4 linked regions of the Oryzias latipes genome follow. The main gene of each other region encodes a partner of the protein of the gene in region 2 in a complex. Links are inferred from orthologs where the notes say so. Each region holds a gene or a part of one and is shown on either strand. Other genes may lie near its edges.

Region 1 (7,471 bases), on a different chromosome or scaffold from region 2:
GCTCCGGGTCCTCGCGCGTTTCGGGTTTAGTTCATGTTCCGGTCCAGAGTCTTTCAGAATCAGCCGAATAATGTTTGAATTTAACAAATATTCACGTCCCGGAACCAAAAACAAAATTAAAACAACGTTAACGGGATTTAGACGCAGACAAACGTCAGGAAATGCGGTCCCACGTCTATGTGGGTCCGACAGGAAACAGCCACACAGACTCGATGGTTCCGGTCCTCCTCCTGGATAAATGAGCCGTCAGAAGGTTCGGTTCTGCTCAGAATAGACATGAAATTAGATGGAAATTGTGCAGATTCTCATCAGGTTCTGGTGCACAGAAACCCAGCGGGAAAACAGTTTGAAAAAACTTTATTTACAACAATTATCAAAGTTAGAAGATGGAGGAGCATCTCTGAAAATGAAGATTTGCAGAAAACAGAACAGTCACCTAAACCTCCTTCATTTATCTTATTTACACTGAACGTTTCTTTTGTTCAGAAATGTTGCTGAAGAAAACGACGAATATTTGTCCCCATTCTCTGTTTTTCATTCCAGCTTTCTTATTTTAGAGGAACTGAAATATGAAAAGTGGCCGTTTTGAATCGTACGTGACTAGATACACCATCTAAAATGTTAATTCACTACATTTTAGATATGAACATTATTTATAGGAATCACTTTGCCTATTTTTTTCTATTGAATATTTGGCTTCTTGACCATTCTGAATGATTTGATGAACATTTAATGGAATCACAGAAAGTAGAAACATTCAGAGTCGACACAGACATTCATCCATTTTCTATTCCGTTTTTCCCTTTCGGGGTCACGGGGCTGCTGGAGCCTATCCCGACCACATGTGGACGAAGGCAGGGGACGCCCTGGACAGGTCGCCAGTCTGTTGAAGGGTAGAATGTCCACAATCACACATCCATTCACTCTCCTAGGGACAATTTAGAGTTACCATTCAACCTATGCAGCATGTTTTTGGACCCACGCATGCACAAGGAGAACATACAAACTCCACACAGAAAGGTCCCCATTCATGTCGTTTCTCACGTCCCCCCAGCCGGACTTGAACCGGGGGCCTTCTTGCTGTGGAAATGATGTGAAACGTTTTCATCCCCTTTTCTCAGAAGTGAAGGTTTCTGTCTTTGATTTGGACCCGCCTCAGGACCAAGGCGGGTTTGCCGTCGGTCCCTCTGGTGCTGCTGTCACTTCAGATCAAAGTGGAGACCGACTTCAGCAACATTCAAAACACCCAAACCTTTATTGGGAGCGTGTTCAGAGCAATGTGGCGTGCAGCCTTCACACAAACAGCAACAAAACCTCCACCGACCACGGCGGGCGGCGGATCTTCAAGTTCATGTGAACCTGGAATAACAGCATTGAACAGCTTCGTTTGATAGAAATCAACTTTAATCCATCCTCTCACAAATAGAAACCAAAGTCCAAAACCCAAAAAGATTCACCAAATGAAGGTTTTCTTCTGCAGAAATCAAAGCTGTGATGTCTGCAGAGGAACAGTTTTTGTGCTTCCAGTAAAGCCGCCGTCGCTTCACTTCCTGGGAAATCTCGCGTGCTCAGTAACAAACTGGCAGGACCCTGCTGGACCAAGCAGAGGCTCTTCAGACAGGAGGACAGACTTTCTGCAGAGCGTCTGACCCCGCCCCCTCCAGACCTAGACCAGCTTCTTGGCCTCAAAGAAGCTCTTCAGGTGTCTCATCTGCCAGATGCCGATGGCCACCAGGATGAGGGTCTGGACGATGGACCACCACAGGACGCGCTGGTTGGTGCTCTCGCTGGTCTGGCGGAAACGCTCCTCGCGGTACTGAAAGCAAACGGACAGCAGGGGGCGCTCAGCTGGAGTTCTGCTGTGAAACCTCAAATCAGATGTCTGGACTCAGACGGAGCATCTGCTTCCTGCGGGTTCTGCTCTGCTGGGCTTCACTCACCCTCTGGTAGTTCTGCTCCTTCTGGATCTGGTCCACCTGCTCCACCAGCTGCCGGACCCTCAGCTGCAGCTCCGTCAGCTTGTCCTTGGCGGCGATCTCGGCGTAGTTGTTTGCGTGTTCGCCCACCTGGATGTCCAGGTGAACTCTCTGCGGCAAACAGACGGCGGTTAAAGCCGTGGGTGTGAAGGTAAAGGGGCGGAGCTTACGCCGACCGCCTCCTCACCAGCGTTCCTCCCACAAACAGGGAGAACTTGGAGGAGTTGGAGTGCAGGCAGATCTGGTGCTCTCCGGGCGTGTGCGACGTGAAGGTGAAGCGTCCCTCCGAGCCGTACTGCCGAGACAGGATCACCTGCAGGCGAGGGAGGAGCTTAGAGTCCACTCCACCAAAACCTCCACAGAAGACTAACAGCAGCAGCTCCAAGTCCTCCTCTGGATGTTTACGGAGGTCAGGACGCGGTTGCCGTGGTTACAGAGACCATCTAACGAAGAGACCTTCCTCAAAGTGAGCATCACGGCACTAACGTGTCAGGAGGACCTCCTCCGGCGCTTACCTTCTCGTCAGGATCCTTGACCTCCACAAACATGCCCAGACCCGGGCTGGCCGGCAGGTACTCCTCCTTCTGCTTGTCGTACAGCTGCGTGCGGTAGTTTCCTGCACACAAACACAAGCGCCCCACAGTCAGTGACAACATCCGGCTGAACGCAGCACTTCCGGTCCTTGGACGCGCTGGTCAGGACCGTTGGACCCGCTTTCCCGGTTCTGCAGGAACCTCAGGGAGCGACCGGTCCCAGACAGCTCCTTCAGAACGAACCATCATCAACTCTGGTCCGGACCTCCACCTGCTGGTTCCTCCTGGAGGAGCTGCCTGCCCATTCTCCAGGAGAACCGCTTGGGTTCCTGGTCTAGGTTCGGGGAACGGGCTGGATTCTTCAGGCGGTTTGGTTTGTTATCCGCGTGCTGATAGGATGAAGTTAGCTTAAACCGTCCTCCGTTCCCCGGTAAAAGACCGATCCTACATCCTCACCAACTTCTACTACGAGGTGTTCGCCAACGTCTCCGTTCATCAAACGGTTCACTAACTACTTCTGGCGGCGTTGGGAAACTTTTTGACGGCGAACCGGAACTTTGTGAGCGTTAGCCGCGCGGCAGCTAGCTTAGCCGCTCACCGATGATCATGGTCTCGTCCGGGATCTCCTCGATGAAACATTTCTTCTCGAGCTCTCCGATGTGGAAGTAGAGCGCGGGCGCGCGGCTGCAGAAGAGCGCGAGCAGCAGGAGCGCCAACACGCACGGCTGCATGCTGATCCGGACCGAACCGTCTTCCAGCCGGAACCACCGAGCTCAGACGGAGTCTGCGCGTCCGCAGCAGTGCCACGTAAACCCTGGCGCGCCTTCGACCAATCAGAGCGCTGCGATGGCAAGCTGGGTATTGTAGTTGTGTGCTGGGCAGAGCGGATGACATCAGAACCAGATTGTGAAGGTTCCTCCTCCTCCTGGAGTCACTGTGGGTTTTTTAATTCAACTTCAAAGGATTACACATTCATGTAACTACAATAGAAAGACATAACAAAAGAAAAAAAGAGTAAGATACAAGACAAATAAATAAATAACATTAGAACCGTAGTTCAGAGAACTAGGGATTGTCATTTAACATGTGATCTTCAATGAAAATTGACAGTTTTATTGCATTTAAAATATAAACAGATCTCTTTATGAAATGTATTGAATAATGATTTGATTTGTAAAAATCTGCCTTTTATAGATGAAAAATTTCCCAAAAATTAATAAAGTATTAAATGCCAAACTAAATAAGTTATCACCAGAAACGACTCCAAATAATACAATGTGTAATACAATGTGTTTTGTAACCAAATAGAAATAAGAAAATTTGAAGAGAACCACCAAAAGAAATCCTCCCAAAACCTGTTAGTATTTATACATTTAATAAACAGATGATCAAGTGTTTCTATGTTGATGTCGCAGAAAGAACAGTTATTTTCTTTAAATGAGGTCTCTGAGGGTCCAACAGGAAACAGCAACAGAAACCCGCATGTCACGTGATTTCAGACCATTGATGATAAAAGGTAACATCGACTAATTATGTATTTAGAGTGATTCAGTGGTGAAACTGAAGAACATCCATTAATAAAATAATGTGAAATTGTTTCAAATATTAGTGTCTTCTGTTTGCTCATCCTGACCAGCAGGGGGCAGCACGGAGCCCCGCCTGACGCTGTCCAGGGAAGAAGAGCCGTTTCCATAGCGACCACAGCGGCTCAAACATGGCGCCTGGTGAGTGTTTTCTTATCATCGTCGCAGAAAGAACGGCGCAAAAACCGCAGGCCGTCTTTCCCCGTCATTTTTCTGCAGCTATCAGAGACGGACGGAAACACTTCCGGTCCGCCGTTGATTTCCGGTTAGCGGCTAAAAACATTCCCACTCGGTGTTTACCTCTGAAACGTTCTTAAACCACCGTCTAAAGCTAAAGATAATCCGGTCCAACAACCGTCACGTCTCCTAAACGCTTCTTAAGCCTCACGTTCAGTTTCACTCTCAGTTTGACAACATTTTTGTCTCACCGCGTCTGCAGGGAGCCGACCAATCGTATCCTTCTGCTGTCAGAGGGGGCGGGGCCTGTCCACCAGCCGCAGTTGTCCTTGACCACGCCTCCTCAGCTGTCCTCCACGCCTCTGCAGGTGCTGCTCTACCTGAACAGCTGGTACTTTGCCGCTTTCTACCTGGCGGAGATCCTCATGTTCATCTACAAAGGTGTGTGGCCCCGCCCCCCTGCAGGTTCACCACGGCTTCACCTGAGAATGAAGCCGAAGGTGTCGTAGAACCTCCAGCCTGTCCTCTGTTCCTCTGCTGGACGTCATGGAGGAGCGTCTGACGGTTGCTGCTGGTGTCGCTGCAGGGATCCTGCTGCCGTACCCGTCTGACAATCTGGTCCTGGATGTGGTCCTGCTGCTCCTCTTCCTCGCTCTGGAGGCTCTGCGCATCTTTTACGGTGACGCCAAACACAAACATCTGCTTTGCTTTCTCCAGAACCGCAAGTGCGGCTGAGAGGTTCTGGAGAACAAAGATGGAACATGCAGGATGAAGAGGATGCAGACGGGCCTGACATTGGTGCTGGATGAGCTAACGTCAGAACAATCACGGTTCTATGCTAGCATGGAAGTGTCAGAAAGACCAAGAATGTGGTTTTCAGATTTAAAAAGGACTTCAGAGCATGAAAGGCATGCTGGGATGTGTAAACGATGATGATGCTGGAGATCAAAGCAGGAAGAAGCTTGGTTCCGTGTGTGAATGTGTGACCTTCATCGTTGTGTTCGGAGCTCCGCCTCTGAAGGTTCTGTTGAAGCGGAACCTTCGGTGCAGAACCTCTCCACGCCCGTCTGAGCGGTGGTCCAATGAGGAGAGAGCGTTCTCACTCTTCACCTGGACGGCCTCCCAGACGGAGGTGGAGGGTTCTCCTCCTGGGTTCCAGGGTTCTGTCTGTGGAAGTGACATGACCCCCCCCCCCCCCCCCCACGCCAGAATTTATATCCAGCTATGAAAAAATGATCAGTTGTGTTTTTGCTTTCAAGTTGAGGCTAAATGAAAGTCGGTTTGAGGAGGAGTGGTTCTTCCTTGCACCAGTGGGCATGAAGGGGTTAAAGCATCTCTGCAGACGTTTGCTGCCTGGAAACATCAGACTCAAACCTGCGGCGAAGCGTTCAGCCGCTCAGGCTCTGTGCTGGTTCTCAAGGCCGGCTGCAGGCGCTGACGCTGTCCCCCTGTGTCGATTCAGGCTGGAAGGGGAACCTGTGTGAGCGCTCCCTGACCTCCTGCCTGTCGCTCTTCATCCTGGTCTCTTGTGCGGCGCTCGCCGTCTACTACCTGCTGCTGCAGACCTTCGTTCTGCGGCTGGAGTTCCTGCTCTGCGCCGTCCTGCTCTGCTTCTACGGCCTGGAGTTCCTGCTGGGATTCATCGCCTTATCTTCCTTCTCCAGGTACCCTGAGCCCGCAGGCCGGTTCTGAGAGCCGGGAAGTCTTTGACCCTCGATGTTCTTGTGCAGGTCCAAGGTGTACTGAGGACAGAAGAGCGGTTCTCTGGAGCCCAGAGGGACACCAGGACAGTTGTTAGCATATGTGCCGCTGACACAAGTTTCTGTGATTCTTCAGGGATTTTTGTAAATAAACATTTTTCTGCAGCTTTGTGAGTTCTGTGTGTCACCAAAATCAGATGAAGCCGGCCACGGGCCACTAGAACCTCCACAGGTCTGAGTTTCAGCTGGAAAACCTTTGATCTGTGTTTGCATGAAGGCTGTCCGTCCTCTTTTCTTAGGAATCACGAGGCCGTCCCTCAGCTGTCAGTGCGCAGAAACATCTGCGCAGAAACGCAGACGGGTCCATCTGCGCAGAAACGCAGACGAGTCAATCTGCGCAGAAACGCAGATGGGTCCATCTGCGCAGAAACGCAGACGGGTCCATCTGCGCAGAAACGCAGACGGGTCCAGAAATGTAGATGGGTCCAGCTGCGCAGAAACGCAGACGGGTCCAGCTGCGCAGAAACGCAGACCGGTCCATTTGCGCAGAAACGCAGACGGGTCTAGCTGCGCAGAAACGCAGACGGGTTCATCTGCGCAGAAACGTAGATGGGTCCAGCTGCGCAGAAACGCAGACGGGTCCATCTGCGCAGAAACGCAGACGGGTCCAGAAATGTAGATGGGTCCAGCTGCGCAGAAACGCAGACAGGTCCAGCTGCGCAGAAACGCAGACCGGTCCATTTGTGCAGAAACGCAGACGGGTCTAGCTGCACAGAAACGCAGACGGGTTCATCTGCGCAGAAACGCAGACGGGTCCAGAAACGTAGATGGATCCAGCTGCGCAGAAACGCAGACGTGTCCATCTGCGCAGAAACGCAGACGAGTCTCTGTTACACTGCAAAAAGAAAACTTCAAACCTGTTTCACCATCAGCTGCTTTCCCACTAAATGAAGTCTTTACAGAGGATTCTGAGTCCAGATGCTGCGGTTCCACCTGAAGACCGTGTCACCTGGATGGATGAGAAGAACCAAGTCAGCGAGTCCAGAAAGTTCTTTGTCTTCAAAGGTCAGAGAAACCTCCGGGCCTCTGAAGAGCCGTGTTTTTGCAAAAGTTCAGCAAACGTGACGTTTCTGAGCTTTATCAACTTCTGAAGGAAAACTTTCCTCCTTAAGCCGTCTCTAATCTCAGATGACTAATTTAACAGAAGGTGAACAGGAGAAATGTGAGCGGCGGCGCTGCAAAGAGGATCAGGGAAGCTGGATTCTTCCTGACCCAGGCGCCGTTGCGGGGCATTTGTTCTGCTTGTCGGCGTCTGATTGGCTGAGGCTGGTATTAAAGAGCTCGGCGTATCGGCACGCGTCCTCGTGGCTCCGGGTCAGAAAGCTGGGAGGTTTCATTACCGAGCCGGGCCGTTCTGCCACACTCAGGAAACAGAGCAGCATGACTGCAGCCGTCGCCATGGAAACGTCTTCTTTAGCAGAGGAGCGGCAAGACTCCAGCAT
Region 2 (7,577 bases):
AAATTTAACTTACAAAATAATCTTTGATTTATTTAATGAACTTTAGAGTTTAACAATAAGCCACATAAATATGTCAGTGATTTAGTTTACGGTAAATCTGATCTGATCATGTCCATCTCAGATCTAGAATACTTATTTTCCTGAGTCCAAATCAAATACTTCAGATACTTCAAATACTTTTTTTTTTGAAGCTCTTACCTGCAGGTTGTTTCCTCCAATGGGATCCCATCTGAGAAAGTCTCCTCTGACATTGTAGACAGCAGCAAGCAGCTGGATGTCAGTGTTCTGACAAAAACATACCACTTTGAATTAAAATGTGCATTTCTTAGTATTCAAAACAAATGGGGATATTTGTGTTAGCTTATCAGAATCTTTGAAAAGACTTGTAAAAAAAAAAAGAATCGCTAACCTTTTTTGTTCCTCTGAAACTGAAAGACAAGGGAACAGGTTTATTTTGGAGCACTTGGCCCGCCAGGCCCGGCTCATCTCCATAGTAAAGCCAAGGCAGGTTGGCCCTCCTGCCGACAAGAGTATCATATCTGTTTAGTGTCTGTTTTTTTTAATGTAAGGTAATTGCTGCATGAACAATGTAAAAAAGGAAAATCCAAATCAAACGTGAATACCAGTAAGAAATGTCTTGAACAGAGCTCAGAGCAGCCTTTGACCTAGAGATGGTGTTAAAGAGACCACAAGCATCTGTGGAAAGTCCAGTGAAGGAGTGCATGTTCATAACACACATGTTTCCGAGAGCCTGACACGCTGTCAAGTTGCTGAAGACCTGTGGGGAAAAAAACAAAAATATGATTTTCTTTTAATAAAACTCTAACTACAAAATTAATTTGGTGAAAAACGTATGTTTAAATCTGTTACAGTACATTCTAAAAATAATTTCGGTAAGAATTCTAACGATTGTTTATGGGAACATTTAAAGCTGTTTGTCCAAATTTAGGAAGGAAATTGACTTCAAGAAAAACAAACATGTTAAGTCATAATTTTTCTAAGAAAAAGAAGTTTTGTAAAGGCTGTGAAATTACAAGGCAAGCTGCTGCAGAAGAATAGAGGTTTTCCACAAACCAGGCAGACTGGATGCTAAACGCCTGTGAAGAAAATGAAAGAAAATCACAAGCAGGAAAAACATACAAGTATTATTTTCTAGGAAGAGAATTACACTTTGACTTACCAACTGAGCATAGCTGACACTTGGATTCACATTAGTGGAGAAGCTGCCTGGAGGAAAACATAAACCTCCAGCCTGCAAAAAATTACATTCACAATCATTTGTGATTTTGTGACTGCAACAGATTTCTGTGGATTTAGGGAATGTGCGGGTAGTAGATGACCAAACTCACCTGGACATTTGGGGATTGACACGTACAGAAGGTATTAGAGAAGGTAGCCTGGCATCGCTCACATCTGAAAGATAATTTTTGATATTGTATTGTTCATAAAAAAAACGATTACCGGTAACTTTTTCTCTAACTGCATCAACTCAACCAACAGTTCTACAGTAGTAATGGAGAGCAGGTATGATGGTCCAATATGGCATAAAAAGAGAAAATTGTTATAGCATAAGAAAATGTAGCTCGTGCTCATTAGAAACACGTGGAAATCAAGAAGAAAAAAGCAGAAACCAGTAAAGAAATTCAAAAAACAAAACAATAAACAACTACTGGATATTAAGCTATTTACCCTGTAACACATTGTCTTCTCATAATATTTTTGCTATTTGAAGCATTTTATGGTGATAATGTCACTGTTTTAAAAACCACAAAATTAATACATACAGTATATAAACGTTTGAGATTTGTCCAGAACAACTTCTGGGCAAACTCAAAGTTTGAACATTCCTGCTGAAACTACCCATTTACACTTTTCAATGACACAACACAATTTTATAACACAAAAGTAAATATTAACACTCAGAGATAAAGATATGAGGAAATACAACAAATCATACATGTTTAACTATTTTTATATTTGTTTGAATAATGAAAATCGGAGCAAAAGTTTAAAAAAGATTTCATAGATATTTGTAGATACAACAAGAATATAAGAAATTGTCAAATTTGTTTTGCCCTATACTAAAACAAAACAAAAAAAAAATCACTTTTTTATTGACTTTTATTTTTCATTTCCACTAAAGTAAAGATGACCCACTATGCAATATAATGAAAATCGCTCCGCTTTGTAAATCCCTAAATATTTTTATTTAACAGTGCAAATGTAGCACAAAGCACCTCCTCTCAGAAAACTAGAGTTTTCTATTAAGTAAAATATGTTAAATGAAATTCTCATGAATATTAAGTCTGTACTGTATATAATTACCTGTCCCCATTACTGTTTGGTGCAGTGAAGGCAGGGCTGTCTCCAATGCATGCTTCACAACTGGCCTCATCAAAAAATGTGCCATTAATGTCTCTTTCAACTGAGAAAAAGAAGAAAAATTTATAAAAGTTTTCTACCAAAAAACTTACAATTACCCTTATTTACAGCTTTTAGGGAAAACCCTTTTTGTTGGGTTGTAAACCTCTCATTGTACTGGTAACTCACCTAGGATATTTCCAGATGGGCACTGGCAGTTGCCATTATCATCAAGTCTGCCGGGGCAGCGAATACAACCAAAGCCGTCTTTCGTTACTGCCTATAATAAAGGACAGGACACCAATAAGCACTTTTATTTATATCAATTGAATCGGTTAGTTCAAAAGGGGTCCAAGTCCAAGAGGTTTGTTAATCCAGGAAATGATTTTAATTGCATAGCTTAAAGGGGGGCTACACTAAATGATTAATACTTTACCCAGATTTAGCACCAGTTCATAGCTTACAAATGCTATAATATGAAGCAGCTCACTTTTATAATTTCAGAGGACTAGCAAACTAAAGTCTCTGGACTTGGGCCCTTCTTGAATTAACCCTTGTGCTATCCTAGGCATTTTATCCTAAGGAGTTGGGTCATCTAGACCCACTAGTCAGTGCGCTGAACCTTTTCTCTTCAATTATTTTTGAACCTCACTGGTGTCCATCTAAGATAGTACAAGGGTTAACCCTTGTGCTATCTTAGATGACCCCACCCTTGCATTGACAGGGGCGCTGCCATATTGGATAATTAGTGCTGCCATCTATGGGATAAAGCAAAACCCATGCAAGAAAGGCCCAAGTTCAGGAATTTTGCACTTAATGCATTTTAAATGTCAAGTATAGACAGTACATTACAACGGACTTGGGACTTTTTGCACATAATCAGATAGCTTTTCCCTTGAAGACCATAGAACATATAATGTCTCTATTTTGAAAAATTGTGGACTTGGGCCCCTTTTGAACTAAGTGATTCAATTGTGAAGTAGTTTTAAAAAACATGAATCAGAACATTCATTATGAAAGAAAGCTATACTTACAGGCTTGTCTGGGGGACACTGTTCACATGTAAACGGGACTTTGTTGCTGCTAAAATGTTTGGTCTTGTAACCCGTTTGACAAATGCAGCTCAGACCTATATAAGACAAGACATTTCTTTATAGTTTAGAATAATATTGTTTTCAATGGTGAAAGGAAATACTAATATTTAGTTAAATAAAAATCTTATTTTAAAAATCCTTGCAACAACTATATTGTGCATTTTGAATTTAAATTTAAAAAGAAAGAAACCCAGAGAGGCTGGTTGATGTTTTGATGAGGGTCAATTCAGATTCACACCGTCTCTCTAGATACAACAGTATGTTTAAACAAATCATACATTAATAGTGCAATCCTATATGGCCTCTCAAAGCAGGTCCATATAAGAACAGTCAGTGTACATTTATTTAAACTAGTTTGAAACATTTATCAGTTTAGAATAAAAATGATTAGCTTTCCTGTTTCATGAAAAATGAAATGAGACTAGCTTGTTCTGAACATTAAAGCTGAACAGAGTTTGCTTGTTTAGCTTTATGCCATTTTTCCTATACAAGTTAGGGAATATTTATGGTAATTCAATTAAACTTCTAAAAATATGATTTTTAGACCACATGCTATAACATGTTCTTAAAGGTTAAGGTTTTAAACTTTAAATAATCTTAAATAGTCTATAATATATTAGTGTGTACATATTAAAACATTATTTGGATTAACAAAAACTTTCTTTAAGAATAATTTCTTTATGTACATGATACAGTAAAGTAAAGGCTATCTTAACTGCTAGCAACAGAAAACAATTAGAACCAAATTGGCTTTTACTTCTTCGAGGTTGTTCAACAGCTGGAGCTTAACTCGTTTGAATGTAATTATCTGTTTTTATTTTTAGATATATACACTAATGTTGGTATGTTTACAGTGTGTACACTGTATCATGTAGCTTTATCGCGTGGTGATCGATACCCACCTGAAGAACTCTTGCGTTGATTTGCGCCGCATTTGGCACACGACAAACTCGAGATGTCGAAAAATTCGTTCACACCACATCCGGAAGGATCTTTAAAGGGGATAAGAAACTGCTGGCAATGGAAAAGGTGCGTATGAATCACATAAAACAATGTAAAACAAAACATCTGCCTGTCAAGAACAAGCGGCGTCCCCGTCGCCATGGTAAAAATGTCCTCCTTTTTACCCACAATCCTTTGCAACACGTCATGACGTAGGGCGTTCCAACTTAAAAAAAAGTTTAAAATGTTCTTTTGGGGAGAGAACATCTTGGAGACACCGTGAGGATAAATAAATAAATCACTAATGTTGTGAAAGAATAAAAAAAGACAACTCTTAAACTCTTTGAAGTTCTTTGAAGAATCTCAAAGATTCATAGACTAAATCAAATAATAATGGTTTTCATTCATACTTTTAAAAAGATGTCTTAACAGAGGATAACAATAATGGGATTCTCTGTAACGAAATATAGGCAGCTCTAAGGATTAATGTTGCCTCTTCCAGCAACAATATATATATGTATGTGTATATTTGACTATAATACTTAACCTTGTCCACAAGTAAAAATAAGTATATTTTTGTGACTTTCGACTCAGTGATTTTAATTTTAGCTCTAGTTTTTTTCTTGTTTGTTGATGTTCTGCTATTGATTACATAGACATTCAGAAACAACAGAGACTTTGAGTTGAGCTGGGGGGGGGGGGGGTACAGATAGCAGAATGATCTTTACCAATTTGACCTCGTAGTGAAACAATTTTAATTGAAAGTTTAAAGCTTTCTTTTTCAAAGACCAGAGGCTATTGTGGATTAAAATCTAACTTTTCTTTTTCTGTCACTCATTTCAGCTGGTCCGTCTTTGGGTCACAAAGAAGTCAATTTATGACCCAGAAACACTTTGCTTTGCAGACGACATCTGCCTCCTCAAACCATCCACCCAGACATATCATCTTAGCCTCAGACTAAATTATTTTGCAATATTATTTTTTTATCAAGGTTATTGTGAAGGTCTATCAAGCTCCTTCCTGAAGATGCAATCAATGAAAAAAAAAACTTCAGCTTGGACCTGATGTTTTTTTGTCAGTCTCCATGCTGTGAAAATCTTTGTGCATTAATTTTATTTTGTAAGGTTTAGCATTTAATATAGAAATGTAACATTGATTCAGGTTTTAGAAGATTTATTAGCACATTTAAAACAGATAGCCAATTTTAAATCTAAATATCATAGATGTATACAGGAAATCTTTCACTTTTACTTCAACCAGGTTTAGTGTGACCTAAGATCAATTTAAGTTCATCACCAGTACTCGTCCATTTCAAGTACAACCACATCATGCCCCAATATGTGCAGCTTATTAGTGTGATTTATTGTTTATGTCAGACTTCAAAGCAGTTGCAGGGGCTTCAAGTGTATTATCACCCAGCTAACTTTGGTTGACTGTGTGACTTACTTTTTTTGCAGCATATTTTATACAAACCTGTGTTTTATTCAAAAATTATATATTTGATAACTACATTTCCTCAACAAAAGGCAAAATGGAAGCTGTGATTTTGATCAAAACAGATACAAGCATCATCTACCTCACCTTGTTTCCTCTTATTTCCTCCTCATTCTACAAATGAACCTGCACTGTTGGCCTCAGCTCTCCCTCATTATAGTCCTTTTACTGAACATCAGGTAAGACGAGAGCTGAAGAAACCTAAGACCAGGAAAGCAGCAAGCCCAGATGGGGTGTAGCCCAGGCTCCTGAAGACATATGCAGATGAGCTAGGAGGTCCCCTCCAGCACCTCTTTAACCTGAGCGTGCACCTTGGTATAATACCAACACTCTGGAAGACCTCGTGCGTCATTCCTCTGCCCAAGGCCAAGCAGCCTAGGGGTATATAAGGACTACATACCAATTGCATTGGCCTCTCACAAAATAGAAACTGGAGAGGTTAGTGCTGCAGTTGCTAAAGCAACAGGTGCAACATGCAATTTGCGTATAGGGTGAGGGTGGGAGTGGAGGATGCTGTCCCAGATCTTCTCCACCGCACCTAGCCTTACCTTGATGAAGAAGGGTGTGCTGTTTTTATCCCCTTTTTTAAGTTGAGCCTTATAAAAAATTTCATTTTTGAAAGTGTTATTTGACTTTATTGAATAAAACAATTGCTAAATATTCAAAAGTTCAACTCAGAAAGTCACATCAGGGATAAGTAGCTCCTAAAAATAATCTGGTTTGCCCCTTGGATGGAAAAACGTTAAAAAGCAACAAAAAGAGCCTAACAAAAACAAAATGTATATAGTAGAAAAATCATCCCAGAAGTCTTTGATTGTGGGTAGAAGTGACATGAAGAAACCAGGATGCCATCTTTTGCTCATTTGTAGAATCTTGGAGGACCATCAGAATATCTGGATGGACCTGCAACAAGACATCAGAAACATTACAAAATCTCAAATGCATTTTCACTCTTAAAAGTTTAATGATATTCCCCTAAACAGTGATTTCTTTCTACCTGGTTTTGTATTTCTTATGTGACAAATGCCTTGTGTGGAACAAATAAAATGTAAATATTCTATAAAAACCAGGTGTAAATCAATCAGGCTTTGATTTTGACAAGTAAATTTGGGTTCTTGTACCTGAGACATTCGAGTATCGATCACTACTGCTTGGTGTTCTGGTAGGAGTGGAGAAGCTTGAGGAGCTCATAGGCAAACTGCTTGGAGTTGGACCCTAAAACAAAAAACTCTACAATTAGGTTTTTTCAACATTTAAATATTAATCGTGACTTTTTTCTCTCCATTTTGAAGTAGCTAAATAAAAATGTACTTAAACACAAAATACACACTTAGAGAAATGAGTAAAGCTTTGTACCGGTGATATGGTCCTTAGTCGGTACTCCATCAAAACATCAGTTAACTTCTGTGTCACCTTTAACACCAACTGAGCATCGCTCTCACTCTGTATCCGGAACGAATCCTAAAAACATAATTTCAAAGTTAGTTTTATGTTTTAAACGGAAAAAAAAAGTATTTTTTACAAATGTTCAGTGGATCTGAGAAGGAGCTAAAAACCCACCAGGTATGTGAGCAGAGTACTGGAAAGTGTACTGCTGTGTGAAGCTGCTCCCATTCCTCCTGATCTCTCAGGTGGCCGGTTCATATAGTTATCACCCATCTGCCTGCCCTGGAACCCTGGATGCAT
Region 3 (7,665 bases), on a different chromosome or scaffold from region 2:
AATTAAGGGCACTTAAATTTTTGGATTTACTTGATCTTAGCATCGGAATTTTTATGTTTAAAGTTGAAAAACAATGTGTGCCTGCCAAAATACTGAGTTTGTTTGAAATTAAAGTTAATAATTATGATTTTCGGGGTAAAGATATGTTTAAAAACAAAGTGGTCAGAACTTATGCAATAAAGAATAGTATTTTTGTTCAGTGGGTCAACATGTGGAATTTATTATCCGACGATCTGAAGAACACAAACTCCATATATTAGTTTAAAATAATGTATACATTTAAAATATATCAAAATTCCTTCTGTAGTGAGAGACTTTTGTGGTTGTGAAGTAATTTTAAGAAGCGTTTTTTCTTCCTCTTTTTTCTTTTTTTTTTTTTCAAGGTTCTATCAATTTGTAGGTAGATGTGACGTTTGTAATCAGGGTCGGGAAATAAGCCTTGGCTTCACTCGACACCTTTTTCGGTTAATTTTGTTCAATGTTTATGCTGACATTGTTAATTGTCAATACTTGTGTTGATGTTTTAAGTTTGTGTGTTAAACATAACCCAAATAAATGTCTCGCTCACAAATGTCTACAATCTCGGCAAACACCATTATAAATCTTAACCTTTGTGTTGGCCAACAAGACTTAACTAACTTATTTTAAATATTTGTTAGCATGCTTTTCCAAAGTTTTCTTTGATATTCCTTCTAGTCTTACAACAGTTATGCCCTTTACTGTTGATCAACACTTTCATATTTTTACTTCCATGACATTACTGTGTAGGAATCTGCTTTCACATTGACATTGAAGGGTGTTGTTCTAGTTATTTAATTGACTGTGAGTAATTTATCAAGGAAACAAAAGTGACAAACTTCCGAGGGGGTAAATACGTTTGCTGTACATTGTGATCCTCTGACAGTTCCATCCTCAGGCAGTGATTGTAACTGCTAGAACATTTCCACGCCTTGACATTTCTAGAATTTCTGAATAACATGTAGAATGGAGCTTGTGAGAGACAGTTAAAGACAGGTTGGATTGTTTTTTTTCATTCATTCACTTTCCTCTAAATTAAGGGTTAGTGGTTCGTCTTTGGAGAAGCACCCATGCGGATCATTTAGCCTTTTTAGTTTCTAACGGTTATATAGAATCCATTTTTTTATGGTAAACACGATTATTGAGAAAATGAGGTGAGAATAAAATCTGTGAAGCAGCAACAACTTTCTGGGTTCATTTGGTTGAAACGCTTGCCTGTATAGCAAAAATGTGATGTGATTTAAGAACAAACCTTATATTTCAAAAGGGCCAAAGATCCCAGCGGGCCAGTAAGTATTCTAAGTGGACTTGAGTTTAAAAAAAAAACTCGTTTCTCACAGTGTTAACACCTTATTGGTCATATTTTCTTCAAAAACTGTGTGTGGATCTACAGAAGTACTTTCTCTTTGTCTGTACTCTGATCATTTTTAGGTAAATGGGTTTGTGTGTAAACGCACAGCAACATACTTTTCTGGTAATAGATATTTGTCTTAAAGAAATATTTTAGACACATTAAGGTTTTGGTTTAAAGTATAGAAACAAAAAGCATGGACCAGCTTTTCATCAGGGCTAATCAATGAAAGATTGCCATGGCAACAGGAGCAATGCTTTGAAATGCAGCTTACACAATGACATAGGAATGTGGTTCTTAAGACTTGAAAAAGTGTCACACATATCAGTGATACACAAATGTGTTCTCACAGAGACGGCAGGGATCCGCAGGTTGGGCCCCAGCATGTTGTTGAGGTGTGGGAAGGTACTCCAGGCCACATAGTCCCCTTGAGTGCCGGTGGCTGCAACCATCAGAGTCTGGTACTGAAACCTCACAACCGGCTGTTCTTCATACGTGCTTCGCTTTAACCAGAAACCTGAAATTGAAAAAACAAAACTATAAGGTTTTAGGAACTTTTTGACGTTGAGATTTCTTCTAATTCTATGTTACCATCAAACCAAAAACCAAACATAAAATAGCATAAGATTTCTATTAGAATCCTTCAGCCAAACTTCCCACAATCTCCTATAGAATTTGCTTCATTTTTTTTTTTTGGAATGGAATTTGCTTCTTGACAAGGTTTGTCATGCAGAAAACATGTCCATCTGATGTACCCAGAATTCAACAACTTTTCTGACTTTTCCATGGCATTTTTTACATTTGAACCCATTTTTAAAAATTACAGAAGACGTTTTAAAAGCATAATTCATCATTTACCAAATATGTTCGAATAATTCAGTTCAAAATAGCAGCATTTTTGTCACATTTGTTCCACAGCATTAATAAGGGCATTTTTGAATGGTAATATGGGTTACTGTTGTATTACAAGCAAAGGCACTAATGTGCAATGAAAGCCAGCATGAAAATAACACAACGTAAATTCTGTTCCTGTAATGGATTTGAAACATTCAAATCAAATAAAACTTTATTTATAGAGCAGTTTTTCCAACTTGAGTTACTTAAAGTGTTTTACATAAAAACATAATCCAATTTTAAAAAACCAAAAGCAAGACAAAAAATATGTATACAATGCATAAAATGCCCCCCGCCGCACACACACATGCACGCACACATGCACGCACACTATAGTAGTGCATCAAATGATTCACTAAAATGATGCAAAGTAGAAAGTAGAAATCCGGCTTTGTGGGGAAATTATAAACCGTCCTCACAAGTGAGCCCCACCCAAGTTCACAGAATACACTACAGGACTCCCCAGATGCAAGAACCAGACCCAGAAGATCCCACTGCAGCGATCCCCATTCACTGAAAAGGCTCGGCCACCTATTTGGAAGAAAATTGTAAACATGTCAAAAAAAAAAAAGTTTGGTAAAATTTAATAGGTGTGGGATTATAAATTCACTTCTTTCCCACCCAATTAATCAAACTCTATTTAAAAAACATAATATTTTATGGATTCAATGTATTGCACACGTGTGTACTGTATGAATAGGTGTAGATATACCTATTTATGATACATTGTAATGTCAAGTGTATAAAAACATTTTCTGTCATTTTATTTTTCTCAAACCAGTTTAGGAACTAATATTTTAAAATGATACTATATATACATACACACATATATATATGTATATATTTTGTTTTATTTTAGAGCTGAAAGCTGCATGAAATCCATCAATCAAATCAAAACACATCCAACAGATTTAAGGCTAATCTTTCAACAGACACAAATGGATTTAGTCATTTTGAAAACAACTCATATCTAGACTTAAAGCAAAAGTTGTAAAAACTTGGGTTATTTAATATAAAAGCTTATTCATATGCATTCAAAGAGAATAGTTGTTGTCTAAATCAAATAAATCTGAGTAAAAATGGAATGAAATATTGCTGAAATGTTATTAATTTGTTATTTTTACTGGACTAATAAAACTTTATTTAAAAGGCCCTGGCTTTACTCATAGGCTTTGTAACGTGTAAAGTAATATAGATAATAAAAATCCTTTTTTTATATTCTAGCATAAACAAAGACTTTAACAAAAACATAATATATTCTTTTGTTCAAAATGAAATAAATGGACACTTTAAAGCCTCGATATATATACTGTACCTTGACTCCTATAAGCAACAAGCAGAGGTGGGATGTAGGTTAGGCACAAAACAACAACCAGGAACAGCGTAGCCTTTGTGCAAACACTGGTTTTGTACCGAATTACAGCCGGATGAGAGTACACTTCGTAGAAAGCCATACGTTCGGTGTAAAGACAGCTAGCTGTAAGGCTACAGCTGGAGATGCTAACCTAGTAGCGGACTAAATGATTACCGGCGTAAAAATGTCGATACTACCTAAACTGGTCGTTAAGAAACTCCAAAAAATCTTCCTCTGGATTCTAAACGCCAGTAAATTCATATTTTTCTGATAACTTTTCGCGTTGAAATGCTATTTTGCTAGCCCCTGCAACATGTAAGGAAACGAGCCCCCCGCCATATTTCTGCAGCGTCCCTCGGTTTCCATGGCTACCATGGTTCAGGATGCATTCATGAACTGTGGGGAATGCTGAAACTCTTCTGTGGTCCTGAAATTAAGTAAAAGCACAAAAGTAGTTATTTCATTTCATGCCTGGAAAATTCCCATATATTATTATCTTTTTACGTTGTTATGGGAACTATTAATTTTAAATAAAAGCTCAAATAAAAGCATTAAAATTTTTTATACAATTGTGTTTCTAATAATAAATGCCCATGACCGTTCTAAGGCATTTCAATGTATCATTTTTGTTTCATTGTTTATTCAGTCTGACTGTATTAATTTTGTATTTCTTTGGTGTTGTTTTCATTAAACTAGAAGGATATTAATGTAGAAACTAGATATTAATGCGTGTCTGTCAACAGCCCCAACTACAAGGATTTTTTTGGACCGAGCACTGCTGGGCGCACTTGAACGCACCAGGAGCACCAACAGCCAGACGGTGACGTCACCTCTCCGCGAGACGGACAGCTGAGCAACAGAAGCTCTTTGTTGACGTTTTGTTTTGGTCGCTTTGGGCAGGATTTCTGCAAGTTTGAACCCCCAACAGGGTTAGCTGATCGTGAAGCCCGCCTTTCGCCCCTGCCGTCACGCATCAGTGCGGGAATCCAGCAAAGATGAAATGGATGTTTAAAGAGGACCATTCCCTCGGTAAAAAGGGTTTGGGTTGTTGTTATGAAACCAGAGAGAGATGTCCTCTTTTCATGTCGCGTGTTTTTCCTTTTTGCTCCGCGGACTGTGTGTCCTTCGATGTGGCTCCACCACCCATCACAGACACACTAACGCGGGGTTTTCGCAGGAGCCTGCCGGAAATCGATCCTGCTTAGCTTGGCATGATCATGCTAACACGCATTTGCTGCAGGTTGTTTAGGATCACCTCAAGAGAAACGCCATTTAAAGCATTGCATCATCATCTAGTATTGCTTTAATTTCAATATTTTGCATGCATTACTTAAAAAAGTATGGTGGATTAAAAAAAAACAACCTTTTTTTTAATCTATTTTTACTGTTTTTTTCTATTAGGCCTAGTTTGTGTTATATAAGATCCTTCTGTGAAGTTTTGTCTTGTCATTCTCATGGTAATTGGATAACCTTGAGGACTCTTTTTTTTTTAAAGAAGCACCTCTGAAGATAGAACTTTTATCTGGGCTAATGAACCTAGATGGAGTCCTCCCCTCACTCACTCACTCCTCCCATCCTCCCTGCACATCCATGTGTCTGAAATGAATTTGCATGAAGATGTTGTACTATTCCTCTGAAACAGAGGATCATGAGTGGGAAACATACACTTCCCCCATCTTGTGTTGTGCTTGTTCAAGGCTGAAGACAGGAAATCCCCAGAGGACGCACTGATCCCTTTAATCTCTGACTTCCTGTTTGTTTGCTGTCTCTTTCCTCAGAGCACCGATGTGTGGAGTCAGCCAAAATACGCAACAAATACCCGGACAGAGTACCGGTGAGTTGTGGGGGCTGGGTGCTTTTATCGGAAATGGAAATGCAGAGATGATCAGAGGGAATCAATACCGAAATCTCTGACATCCAACCAGCCTGGATGCTTATGTATGATAAGTCAGGCATCTTCTGAGTGCAACGTCATTCCTCTTTTTCTCAAATTACAAAGATGACCGATGAACACAAAAGAGCTTTCACATTTATGTACCCACTTGCTCTTGTTTGTGGATAACATGACCTCCATTTTCCATCACCTCTCATATTTCACTGATGTGAAGAGCCAGCATGCCTTTCTCCAGCTCCTCCTGGAGACCAGGAGGCGCTTTTAGACCAGAACAGACCTGGAAACCCTCAAATGTTCTTTACTTTTAGAAAGTGTCTTAACCCTTCGCAGTCCGAGGCCATGTTGAGCCTTTTTACTAATTTATTTACAGCTTGTTCTAAAAAATGTACCTCAAACTATTTTTCATGTCTATTTTTAGTTCAAACTCCAGTCTCTTTTTCCACAAAAAACTAAAAACCAAAAGAAATTCCACCTTTGAGGAGGTCTTTTTATCCTGCTAGAATCACAACAATTGGAGTCAAATCAAATGTTTGTGTATGAATTTTTTTAGCAAAGACCAGAAATGTACAGACAAAATTTAAATGAATGAATAAAAAACAAAGTGAAACCAGTATAGTTTCATCGATTTCATGGAGCCTTAAAATGACTGCAGTCAAACAAGGCGCCGTACATTAAAAGCTCAAAAGAAAAAAAAAACAACAGCTAAAAGGCTAAAACAATTAAAGTGATTTAAAATTGTAAAATAATCAAACAAAAGCAAAGCAAAACAATAAAGCAGTAAAACTTACCAGCAGAGCAGAGTCTCATGCCGTGTCAAAGGCCTGGTGATAAAAATGGGTTTTAAAACTTTTTTTTAAATGGACATTGAAGATACCTGCTGAATACTCAGTGGTAAAGCGTTCCACAGCTTTGGTGCACAGACAGAAAAAGCTCTATTCCCCCCTGAGTTTCCTCTTGGACCCCGTTTAAAAACAAATAAAAGAACATTAAAATGAACTCTAAAATTCACAGGCAGCCAGTGAAGTGTAGCCAGCACGAACCAGAACCCGAGCAGCAGAACTCTGGACCAGTTGGAGACGCGAGAGGGATGACGGGCTGACTCCAAAATAGAGAGAGTTACAGTAATTCATCTGAGGTGTGATGAAAGTACGGATTACTGTCTCAAAATATGACGTTTTGGTAAAAATGATTTCACCCCCACCAACTGCCTCAAATAAAAGAAGCTAAATTTCAGACATGTTTAAAGTCCTTTTCTGTTTTAAATCCCAGGTTAGACATACATTGTTTTAAATGTGGAGCCGTTGAGGAAGGGTCACAGGAGCTGCTTGGACCGAACACCATCACATCCGTTTTTCATTCATTCATTCATTTTCTTTACCGTTTATTCCCTTTCGGGGTCACGGGGTTGCCGGAGCCTATCCCAGCCACTTGGGCATATGCAAGGGATGCCCTGGACTGGTCGCCAGTCTGTCGCAGGGTAGAATATCTTCAATCACACATCCATTCACTCCCACACTCACACCTATGGACAATTTAGAGTTGCCAATCAACCTATGAGGCATGTTTTTGGACGGTGGGAGGAAGCCGGAGATCCCGGAGGAAACCCACGCATGCACGGGGAGAACATGCAAACTCCACACAGGAAGGTCCCCTGTTGATGTGTTTTTCATGTCCCCCAGCCGGGACTTGAACCGGGGACCTTCTTGCTGTGAGGCAAGAGTGCTAACCACTGCACCACCGTACAGCCACTTCCTTTTTTTTTTTGTCATAAAAACAAAAAACGAAATCCAATCTTTGAGGTCAAGTGTAATGAAACAATGAAAGGAAACTCTGTGTTTTGTTAGGATGGAGCCCAGAGGAAAGAGGTACAAAGAGAATAAAAGTGGTCCTAAAATAGAGCCCTGGGGAACCCCAAACAACAGCAGAGCAGTTAAAGAATAGGATCCGGACACACTCACACGCACACAGTCTTGTCATTAAAAAAAAGGGAAAATTGTCTAAAAAAACAGGTGAAGCTCCACTAAACTACAATGTTCCAAGTATTTTTTCCAAGAGGAACCACAGTTATGTGTCATCACTCTTGTGTTTGATTTAAATAAAACAAACAAAAAAATAAAACAGCCAATGTGATTGGCCTCTCGCCAGAGACTAACA
Region 4 (7,525 bases), about 870 kb from region 2:
ATTTTCAGATACTTTCTAAAAAGAATTAACAGGTTTTTGGTGAAAAAAGGCTGAGATCATATACAACTCAATGGAAAAAAAGAGAATATTATATGAAAACTGTTTTTAAGCATATCTCAACAATTGTGTAAGTTTACTCAAAGGATACAGTGAGTGAGCAGATGAACAGGACGGAGCCCAAGAAACCTCCAAGGATGGTGAACCATTCAGTGGATGCCAGCTGTTTACTGAACATCTGCATTCCAGCAAAAACCAACACTGACAGGAGGCTGGAGAGCACCAGAGACGTGCCTGTGTTCACCGCTGCAATCACCAAAAAAAGCCGTCAAAACAAGGCAAAGTATCCTAAAACCAGAATGATCATATCATCTAGAGCAATTTTAAAATCAAAAGCCGCCTGACTGACGAATACATCTCAATTTTAGAAAATATTATGCAAACCTCACAGATTTGATAATTTTGTAACATTGACTTTAAAAAGTCATTCAATTAAACTCTGGTTTTGGGAACGCTAAAACCTTACGCCACGTCAGTGTTCACACGCAAATGTTTCCGAGTTAGCTGTTAGCTTCAAGCTAAAACACCCAAATTATACGCAACAATCTAAACGTTTCCATTGTATACAGTCAAAATTCCTGACACATTTGTTCACATAAAAAGCCCGTACACGACCTATTTGATGGCAAAACTATTTTCCATCATAGTTCACATAAAGCTAGCTGCCTCAACAGAACAACAAGACAGTACACAACACACGAACATTAAAAAAAAACATATTTAGAAGCGTGGTAAAAGAGAATGTTTCTCTGGTATAAAACTTAAATGTACAAACCCATTAGCTGCTGCTAAAATGTTATTCTTTCGATGAAAAACGGGAGAGAATACGCAAACTCTCTAAAGACATGCAAGGATCCGGTACTGCACTAGGAACAGAACTATTTGACTACCCGGACAGGTTTTCCGGAAGGACCAGAGGGTGGGACCTATGCATTTAGAAAAATACTTTCTTTAAAAAAAATTAAATTAACGAAAGTGTTTATGGAAAGACATAAAGCTCAACCATTGACTGGAGTCATTTTTAATTGTTTACAACATAAAACTACTTGTGAGTTCAGGTTTTTAATTACACAAAAGATTTACAGAATTAAAGGGATTTGATACTTTGGCCATTTCAGTTTGTGTTTTCCAGAACCAAATGCAGGGCCTGATTCTGTTTATCACAACTGCAATGGTTTGTCCGCAGCTGCATGCAGAAAAGCAGAAGGGAGGGATCATTACGTCAAAAAACCTTTCTTTTTTAGCCTATATTACAAAATTGACAAAGTCTTTTGGATAAGAGGTGAAACGTTTTCTAACTTTAAAAACTAAGAGGACAGCCCCTAAACTTACTACTATGATGGAATCAACCTGGATGAAAGAGAGTCTTCATAGACATAATTCTTCTATATTACAACATGTCTCACTACATTAATAATTTAGGAAAGGATTTTTCCTCCCTAAATCAATTTTAAATACTGTTTCTTTTTTTTGATAGCTGCACAAAAATGAAGTTACTGTTTCATGTTTTGTAACCTTGCGGTTCTGGATACTCTTGTCGCCCGACTTTAATTTATCTTCTGGCTCAGTTTGGTTAATATTTCTCTGACAATTAAGTCACCAAATGAGGATAAAGATAGATACAATGAGAGAAATAAGACTTATTTAAAAAAGTATAAATGTATTTTGGATTTAGCGTTGAAAAGCTTTACATGAGAAACAAATACACTACTGACAACAAAAAACTTGGTTTACATTTTAAACTTTTGCTAACTCTCCAACTTATTCAAAACAAACAACATAGTATAATTATTTTTTGTAATTACATAGTTCAAAATATATTTACAAAGATTGAAAAAAAAAACATTCTTTCTGGATCTATTGATGCCTGCTGAAGAAATTCTAACAATGTTGGCCCCTTTTTAAGGTGATCTAATAACTGAATTTCTGCAGCTACTGTCTTGTAGCAACAAATGGAAGCGTTCATCCATTCAATCTGAATCAACTCCTCTTCATAACGGCTTCTTCTTCAGTCCAAAAACCGCAATAAACAGAAGAATCTCCACAAAAGCTGGCAAGACACTGAAAGATGAGAAATAGAAAAAGAAATTAATAGAAATCCAGAAAGATAAAAGAACAATCCTTAAATGCATTCAAATTCCTTCAAAATAAGAGTGACTGTTACAGTATGCTGTCTTTCTAAAAGCCAACTATTCATTGAAAACAAGCATGCAGGCGAACCAACCTGCAGGTGGCAAAAATCACCCAGTAAGTCCAGCATTCCCATTGTTCAAACACAAAGAAAGACAAAGATACGGATGCGGAGCAGTGGACAGCTAATGCTGAAAGGAGCAGCTGTCAGGGAAAACTTTGGGGAAAAAAGGATAAAACGGATTTGCTAGGCGTCAAAAGACTAACCTGCAAATAGCAAAGATCCACCAGTAGATGTCACACTCCCACTGCTCAAACAGAAAAAAGAGCAAAGCCACAGAGGCACTGGCATGGACTCCTGTTGCTATAGCAGACAAGTTCTTAGTTACGGAATTGTAACTAATGACTAATAAGCATTGTTTAATCCATTCATTTATTCTTGTAAATCATGTTTTCTGCTATAAACCAGATGCTCATTTAGAAGCTAGAGCTGCTGGAGAAAAGACAATATCTGAAAATCTTTATTTTCCTCACAATTGTGAATCAATAGTTCAGTATCAATGACCATGACAAATATGAATCATCACTGTCAGTATAAAGGATACACAGAAGACCCTGGCTGGAACTGAACATGGAGACTCCTGAAAAGAAGCCTGCTAGCTCGATAGCAAACAGACCAAGAGTGGCTGACAAGGCTACAACCAACCTGAACAATAACCAAAGGGATGCGGGTTAGAATGTGAGCATTCAAGATTTTTTCATATATTTTCAATCATTTGTTACTTACTTTCTGTCTTCTGTGTCATACTGCTCCTGAGTAAACTCCAAAGGCAAACATGCCTTCACATTATTCTCCTAGAAAACAGAAACAAATACATAAAATAGCCGATTATGGTAACATTTCTAGATAAAAAATTGTTTATAAAAAAAAGGAGAAATAAACTTTTTGCAGCAAACAAAAATCTATATTTCTGCAGTTTAGGAAAAATATTTTGTGGAGTAGAATTTATTTCTATTTCACGATTTTTTTAAAAACTTTTGTTCTTTATTTTAAAATCACAAACTACACGTTATTGATATTTACAAAAAACAATAATAATATTAATAATAATAATAAAAAATATTTCTATGGCAGCTTGAGTCGTCCTTCAAGCTTTAACAACAACACGGACTGTCCTTACTTACCCTGGACCAAAAGATTGTGATGACGATGACAAGGTGAGCTATGATGGTGAGAAACCGCGCAGGAATTAGACTGCTAATAGAAGACATGTTGTTTCTGGTTCACAGAAGTGTCAGAAATGCTAGAAAATTCTAAATTTTAAAGCCAAACGGTCACGTTGGAGTTCACAGATCTCACACAACAGTCGTCGCTCCTGGTTCGCGGTATATCAACGCAACCGCGGTTCAATAAATAATCCAAAAATGATAATCAAGCATTTTTAAAGCCAATGAACTTATAAAATTAAAATTTTACTCTTTAATAGTCTTTTTTCTAAACAAAATTATACATAGAAATTTAACACACCCCGGTGTCGCATTGGGTTGCTACAACAGCCAGTGGCTGGGTGCATCCAATATTGCGACCCGTAAAAACATCCACCTTCCAAACGTTCCGGACACAAAAGGGAAGTGGATGCGACCCATCGCCTTTGTTGTTAAGCAGCACACAACACTAGCATCTAACGACAACACACACACAAAAATAAAACATGACAAAGTTAACGTGTGATTGTAGGATGAACATAGCCTCGCGTATCTAAAGAACGTAGAAAAGCCGATTTTTTTTTGTTTTTATTTTCTAAAAGAATGTTTTTTAAACGCTCCCCGATAAAGCTAACATTTTGGGGCAAAACGCCCCCACCCCCCTCCACCAGTTTCAGCAACCATTCCATTCGCATTTGGATAGACGACAGAGATTGAGCAGCACACCTCAAGCACAGCTATCTGTGCACGTCAGGGCCTAGTGTTTGCTACAAAACAGCCGGGGATTATTTTTCACACCCACTTAATAATCGTTTTAAACGAAACATTTTTTCTTTGGAAGCGTGCACATCAGAACAACAGAGCATGGCAGAAGAGGACTTCCAAACCTTTACCTCTGTCATGGACGCGCTGGTTCGTATCAGTGTAAGTGTGCGACGCCGGTTTATTCTAATATAGCCATTTCAAACGTGCTACATCTAAGAGAGGAAAAACAATAATGTAGTCTTACATATAACTTGCTTTATTGATAGTATGTTGATCTGGACAATCATGGCTATGAAATAAGAATGCGGAGCATTTTTCTACCGTTTACAAACATGTTTTGTCATCGCTTTAATAACCCGGAATAGGCTGAAAGCCACAGTCAGGTGGTGAATGGCAATAGAAAATATACAGTCGCAACGACCACATAATTCATTTTTAATAGATATAAGAACCTAAGAATGTTGCCAAATAGCATAAAATCAGGGCCAGAGGAAGATGTGCGTTGTCATAGAAACCGGATGCCGCGCCTTGTGGCTGCAGTAATGGAAAGGGGCCACCACAACCTAAAAAAAAAAGAAGCAACAATCAATGGCAAACAGAATGTTTCTGCATTGTTTGAATTGTTTTTTTTTATTAAAAATAATGTCTCAGCCAATTTACTCTTAGAAATAGGAAGCAGTGAAGCAATCACAGGAGGACTGCTAAGCATCATGGAGGTTACGTTCTTCTTTCCTTCTTGTCCTGTGCAATAAACGGCACACAACCAGAGTTCATCTAGATATTTCCTTCATCACTGCCATCATTTCCTTTCTTTAAATCAAGTCGCAGCTCTGTTGTCTTCTTGAACTTTCCTCTTCCCTCTTCTCCAGTCCAACATGAAGATGATGGAAAAGGAGCTGCTGTGCCCGGTGTGTGACGAGATCGTGAAGCAGCCCGTCCTCCTGCCATGCCAGCACAGTGTGTGTTTGCTGTGCGCGGCCGAGGTGTTGGTACAAAGAGGCTACCCTCCTCCAGACCTCCCTCCGGAACCCAGATCACCAGCCTCCTCGCCGAACACTCGGTCCCCACGCCAAACTCACAGACCCACACCCAGGACTCCTGACCGCTTGGAGCGGGTCCTCAGAACAGGTGAGGGAAGTGGATTCAACATGACTCAGGTTAGGATGCCTTTCAGGAGCTTTTTTCCCCCTCACATCTGAGAAAAGAAACAGATGGCCTCAGCACTCAAATGACTATACTGTTATGTAAAAATATGGAGCCGCCGATGTGGTGCAGCATCATCATCAACTGACACATCAGTGTCTGGCTGTAGGTCTTCAAATGAATGTGTTTAGCTCATGGAGGTGGTGAGCATCAATGTAAAGACCTGTATTTAAAATTCCTACAGTCATATTTTATAATGTATGACTCCTGTTTTCCTCTGTGTATCTCTTTTCACCAATTGCCAATTTACACCTTCATTCTGCTCTCAGTGTGCAGCACATACCCAGGGCGGCGACGGAAGGACACAACTCTTCCCCCCATGATCTTCCCCTGTCCTTCCTGTCAGCAGGAAGTGGAGCTCGGGCAGAGAGGCCTGTCAGACTGCTTCCGTAACCTCACTCTGGAGCGCATTGTGGAAAGGTTAGCGTGCAGAAAGAAAAAGAGGATGAAATTAGAATGTACTTTTACTGCAAACTCCTTACTTCAGTTCGAGAGATATTTTTAGGCCTTGCGGCTTATCTTTGACTTTCTGAAACGCAAAATCCTAAAGCATTAAACTAAGACATTGAGTGAAGAGTTACGTCAATGCTGCTTTATGTATGAGACAGGAAGTCATTTGCTTAATGAATCCCATCCTCACTCGGGATGAAAGGCTAAGCCAAAGAGCGGTTTGCAAGGACAGCTTAAAAACTGCAGTGTACTGAGGGAGAATGCCAGGGGGAAGAAAAAGAAGCTTTTTTACACGTTATTTTCTTTGAAAGATATGTGAACAAGTTTAAAATGAAACTTTTGCAGCTTTCCCAAAACAATATAATCTGATAAGATTAAAATGCATTGAGCTGCTTTTTAAAAATAGGCCTTGGTTTGGTGTTTTGAGGGTTGGCAGATTTACAAGAGGCACGCTGATGGGTGCAGCTGCTCCCTCCTTAGGCAGCAGTTGTGCTAGTCAAGAAAGCGTGACGCTGCATGTTGTGCGGGATGCTCCAACAAGGCAGCTGCTGGTGATTCATCTAGGACCTAGATAAATCAGCAGTAAAGCATATTTTAAATGCATGACCTATAATCTAGGTCATGCGTTTAAAAGATGCTTTACTTAGGTACCAACTGCAACTCCTCCTAAATGGGCTCTTCTGGTCTGTTTTCTATCCTGCAGGGTTGTCTCTGGCCTGCGCTCATATCTCTGTTTCTCTTTTAGGTACAGGCAGACTATAAGTCTGGGCAGCGTGGCCATCATGTGTGCCTTCTGTAAACCTCCTCAGTCTCTGGAGGCCACTAAGGGCTGTGCTGACTGCAAATCCAACTTTTGCAATGAATGTTTCAAACTCTATCATCCATGGGGAACCCCTCGCGCTCAGCACGAACACATTCTACCCACCAACAACTTCAGACCAAAGGTTTGACTTATTTTTTTAGGCCAGTTTTCGCCACGGCTTGTGCCTCTGCCTCTAAACCGCCATGCGCCGATCCCACTTTGTTCTGCAGGTCCTCACTTGCACAGAGCACGAGCAGGAGAGGCTGCAGTGGTACTGCCGCAGCTGCCAGAGACTGCTTTGTCCGGTTTGTAAACTTGGTCGCGCCCACCATGGACACAAGGTTTTGCCTATAGCACAGGCCTACCAGGCCCTGAAGGTTTGTGTGTAATCTGCGTCTGTTAAGCATCCACACTCTGCTTTGCAATGCCAGCTCCAAATTTATTTGGATTTACCTTACAGGACAAGATGGCAAAAGAAGTCAACTTCATTCTGACCAATCAGGAGACCATACAGAATCAGATCACTCAGCTGGAAGCTGCGATCAAACAGATGGAGGTGCTCAACGTTTTTTTTTTGTTGTTGTTGAAATTACAGCAAAGTCTTCATATGCATGTTTAAATTCTCCTTATGCATGTTTTTTAATATCACTCAAATTGTGCATAAGACTTGTTCAATTGTGCAGAAATGGAAGATTTTACATGTTCAAATTTTACTTCAGGTCATTTTGGTGGTAATTTGTCAGATTTTTTGTATGTGTTTGTCACAAATCTGTGGTCAAACAAAAAGCCTTTGATATTTATGGTTTGCTATATATTTGTTTCATTTAGCAGCAAAGGTTTTGTGTTAAATGTGACAAAACTGAACACCAACATCTATTTTATTCTCTCTTGCTTTTTCAAGCTCTCTCTTGA

The links. Proteins that work in one complex are often made in the same cells at the same time.
Region 1: tmem67 (region 2) and transmembrane protein 216 share a complex: the UniProt entries of both Homo sapiens proteins name them as parts of the tectonic-like complex. The link is inferred for Oryzias latipes from reciprocal best matches to the Homo sapiens genes TMEM67 and TMEM216.
Region 3: tmem67 (region 2) and tmem231 share a complex: the UniProt entries of both Homo sapiens proteins name them as parts of the tectonic-like complex. The link is inferred for Oryzias latipes from reciprocal best matches to the Homo sapiens genes TMEM67 and TMEM231.
Region 4: tmem67 (region 2) and tmem107 share a complex: the UniProt entries of both Homo sapiens proteins name them as parts of the tectonic-like complex. The link is inferred for Oryzias latipes from reciprocal best matches to the Homo sapiens genes TMEM67 and TMEM107.

What each region holds. Positions count from the first base shown.
Region 1 is NC_019868.2:30,551,973-30,559,443, reverse strand, and holds transmembrane protein 216, read left to right. Parts: upstream 1-3,475; 5' UTR 3,476-4,025; exon of another isoform or gene 4,026-4,148; 5' UTR 4,149-4,223; coding exon 4,224-4,233; intron 4,234-4,531; coding exon 4,532-4,545; exon of another isoform or gene 4,546-4,616; coding exon 4,617-4,710; intron 4,711-4,734; exon of another isoform or gene 4,735-4,815; coding exon of another isoform or gene 4,816-4,855; coding exon 4,856-4,948; intron 4,949-5,731; coding exon 5,732-5,933; intron 5,934-5,999; coding exon 6,000-6,015; 3' UTR 6,016-6,135; downstream 6,136-7,471. Other genes in the region: transmembrane emp24 domain-containing protein 9, read right to left, coding at 1,667-1,816, 1,941-2,087, 2,164-2,289, 2,492-2,592, 3,108-3,240. UniProt on the Homo sapiens protein: Part of the tectonic-like complex which is required for tissue-specific ciliogenesis and may regulate ciliary membrane composition.
Region 2 is NC_019874.2:17,681,696-17,689,272, reverse strand, and holds the start of tmem67 (meckelin), read right to left. Parts: upstream 4,593-7,577; 5' UTR 4,560-4,592; coding exon 4,358-4,559; intron 3,491-4,357; coding exon 3,396-3,490; intron 2,642-3,395; coding exon 2,551-2,641; intron 2,426-2,550; coding exon 2,326-2,425; intron 1,414-2,325; coding exon 1,350-1,413; intron 1,253-1,349; coding exon 1,181-1,252; intron 1,098-1,180; coding exon 1,035-1,097; intron 779-1,034; coding exon 624-778; intron 519-623; coding exon 410-518; intron 286-409; coding exon 199-285; intron 1-198. Other genes in the region: uncharacterized protein LOC101168649, read right to left, coding at 6,751-6,794, 7,013-7,106, 7,248-7,352, 7,452-7,577. UniProt on the Homo sapiens protein: Required for ciliary structure and function. Part of the tectonic-like complex which is required for tissue-specific ciliogenesis and may regulate ciliary membrane composition.
Region 3 is NC_019864.2:27,554,811-27,562,475, reverse strand, and holds the start of tmem231 (transmembrane protein 231), read right to left. Parts: upstream 3,997-7,665; 5' UTR 3,718-3,996; coding exon 3,579-3,717; intron 1,887-3,578; coding exon 1,720-1,886; intron 1-1,719. Other genes in the region: gamma-aminobutyric acid receptor-associated protein-like 2, read left to right, coding at 4,613-4,646, 5,396-5,451. UniProt on the Homo sapiens protein: Transmembrane component of the tectonic-like complex, a complex localized at the transition zone of primary cilia and acting as a barrier that prevents diffusion of transmembrane proteins between the cilia and plasma membranes.
Region 4 is NC_019874.2:18,547,347-18,554,871, reverse strand, and holds tmem107 (transmembrane protein 107), read right to left. Parts: upstream 3,767-7,525; 5' UTR 3,460-3,766; coding exon 3,373-3,459; intron 3,043-3,372; coding exon 2,975-3,042; intron 2,894-2,974; coding exon 2,793-2,893; intron 2,552-2,792; coding exon of another isoform or gene 2,455-2,551; intron 2,379-2,454; coding exon 2,282-2,378; intron 2,119-2,281; coding exon 2,049-2,118; 3' UTR 1,697-2,048; downstream 1-1,696. Other genes in the region: krtcap2 (keratinocyte-associated protein 2), read right to left, coding at 149-303, 833-836; tripartite motif-containing protein 46, read left to right, coding at 4,258-4,317, 5,028-5,286, 5,631-5,781, 6,557-6,755, 6,844-6,990, 7,074-7,169. UniProt on the Homo sapiens protein: Plays a role in cilia formation and embryonic patterning. Requires for normal Sonic hedgehog (Shh) signaling in the neural tube and acts in combination with GLI2 and GLI3 to pattern ventral and intermediate neuronal cell types.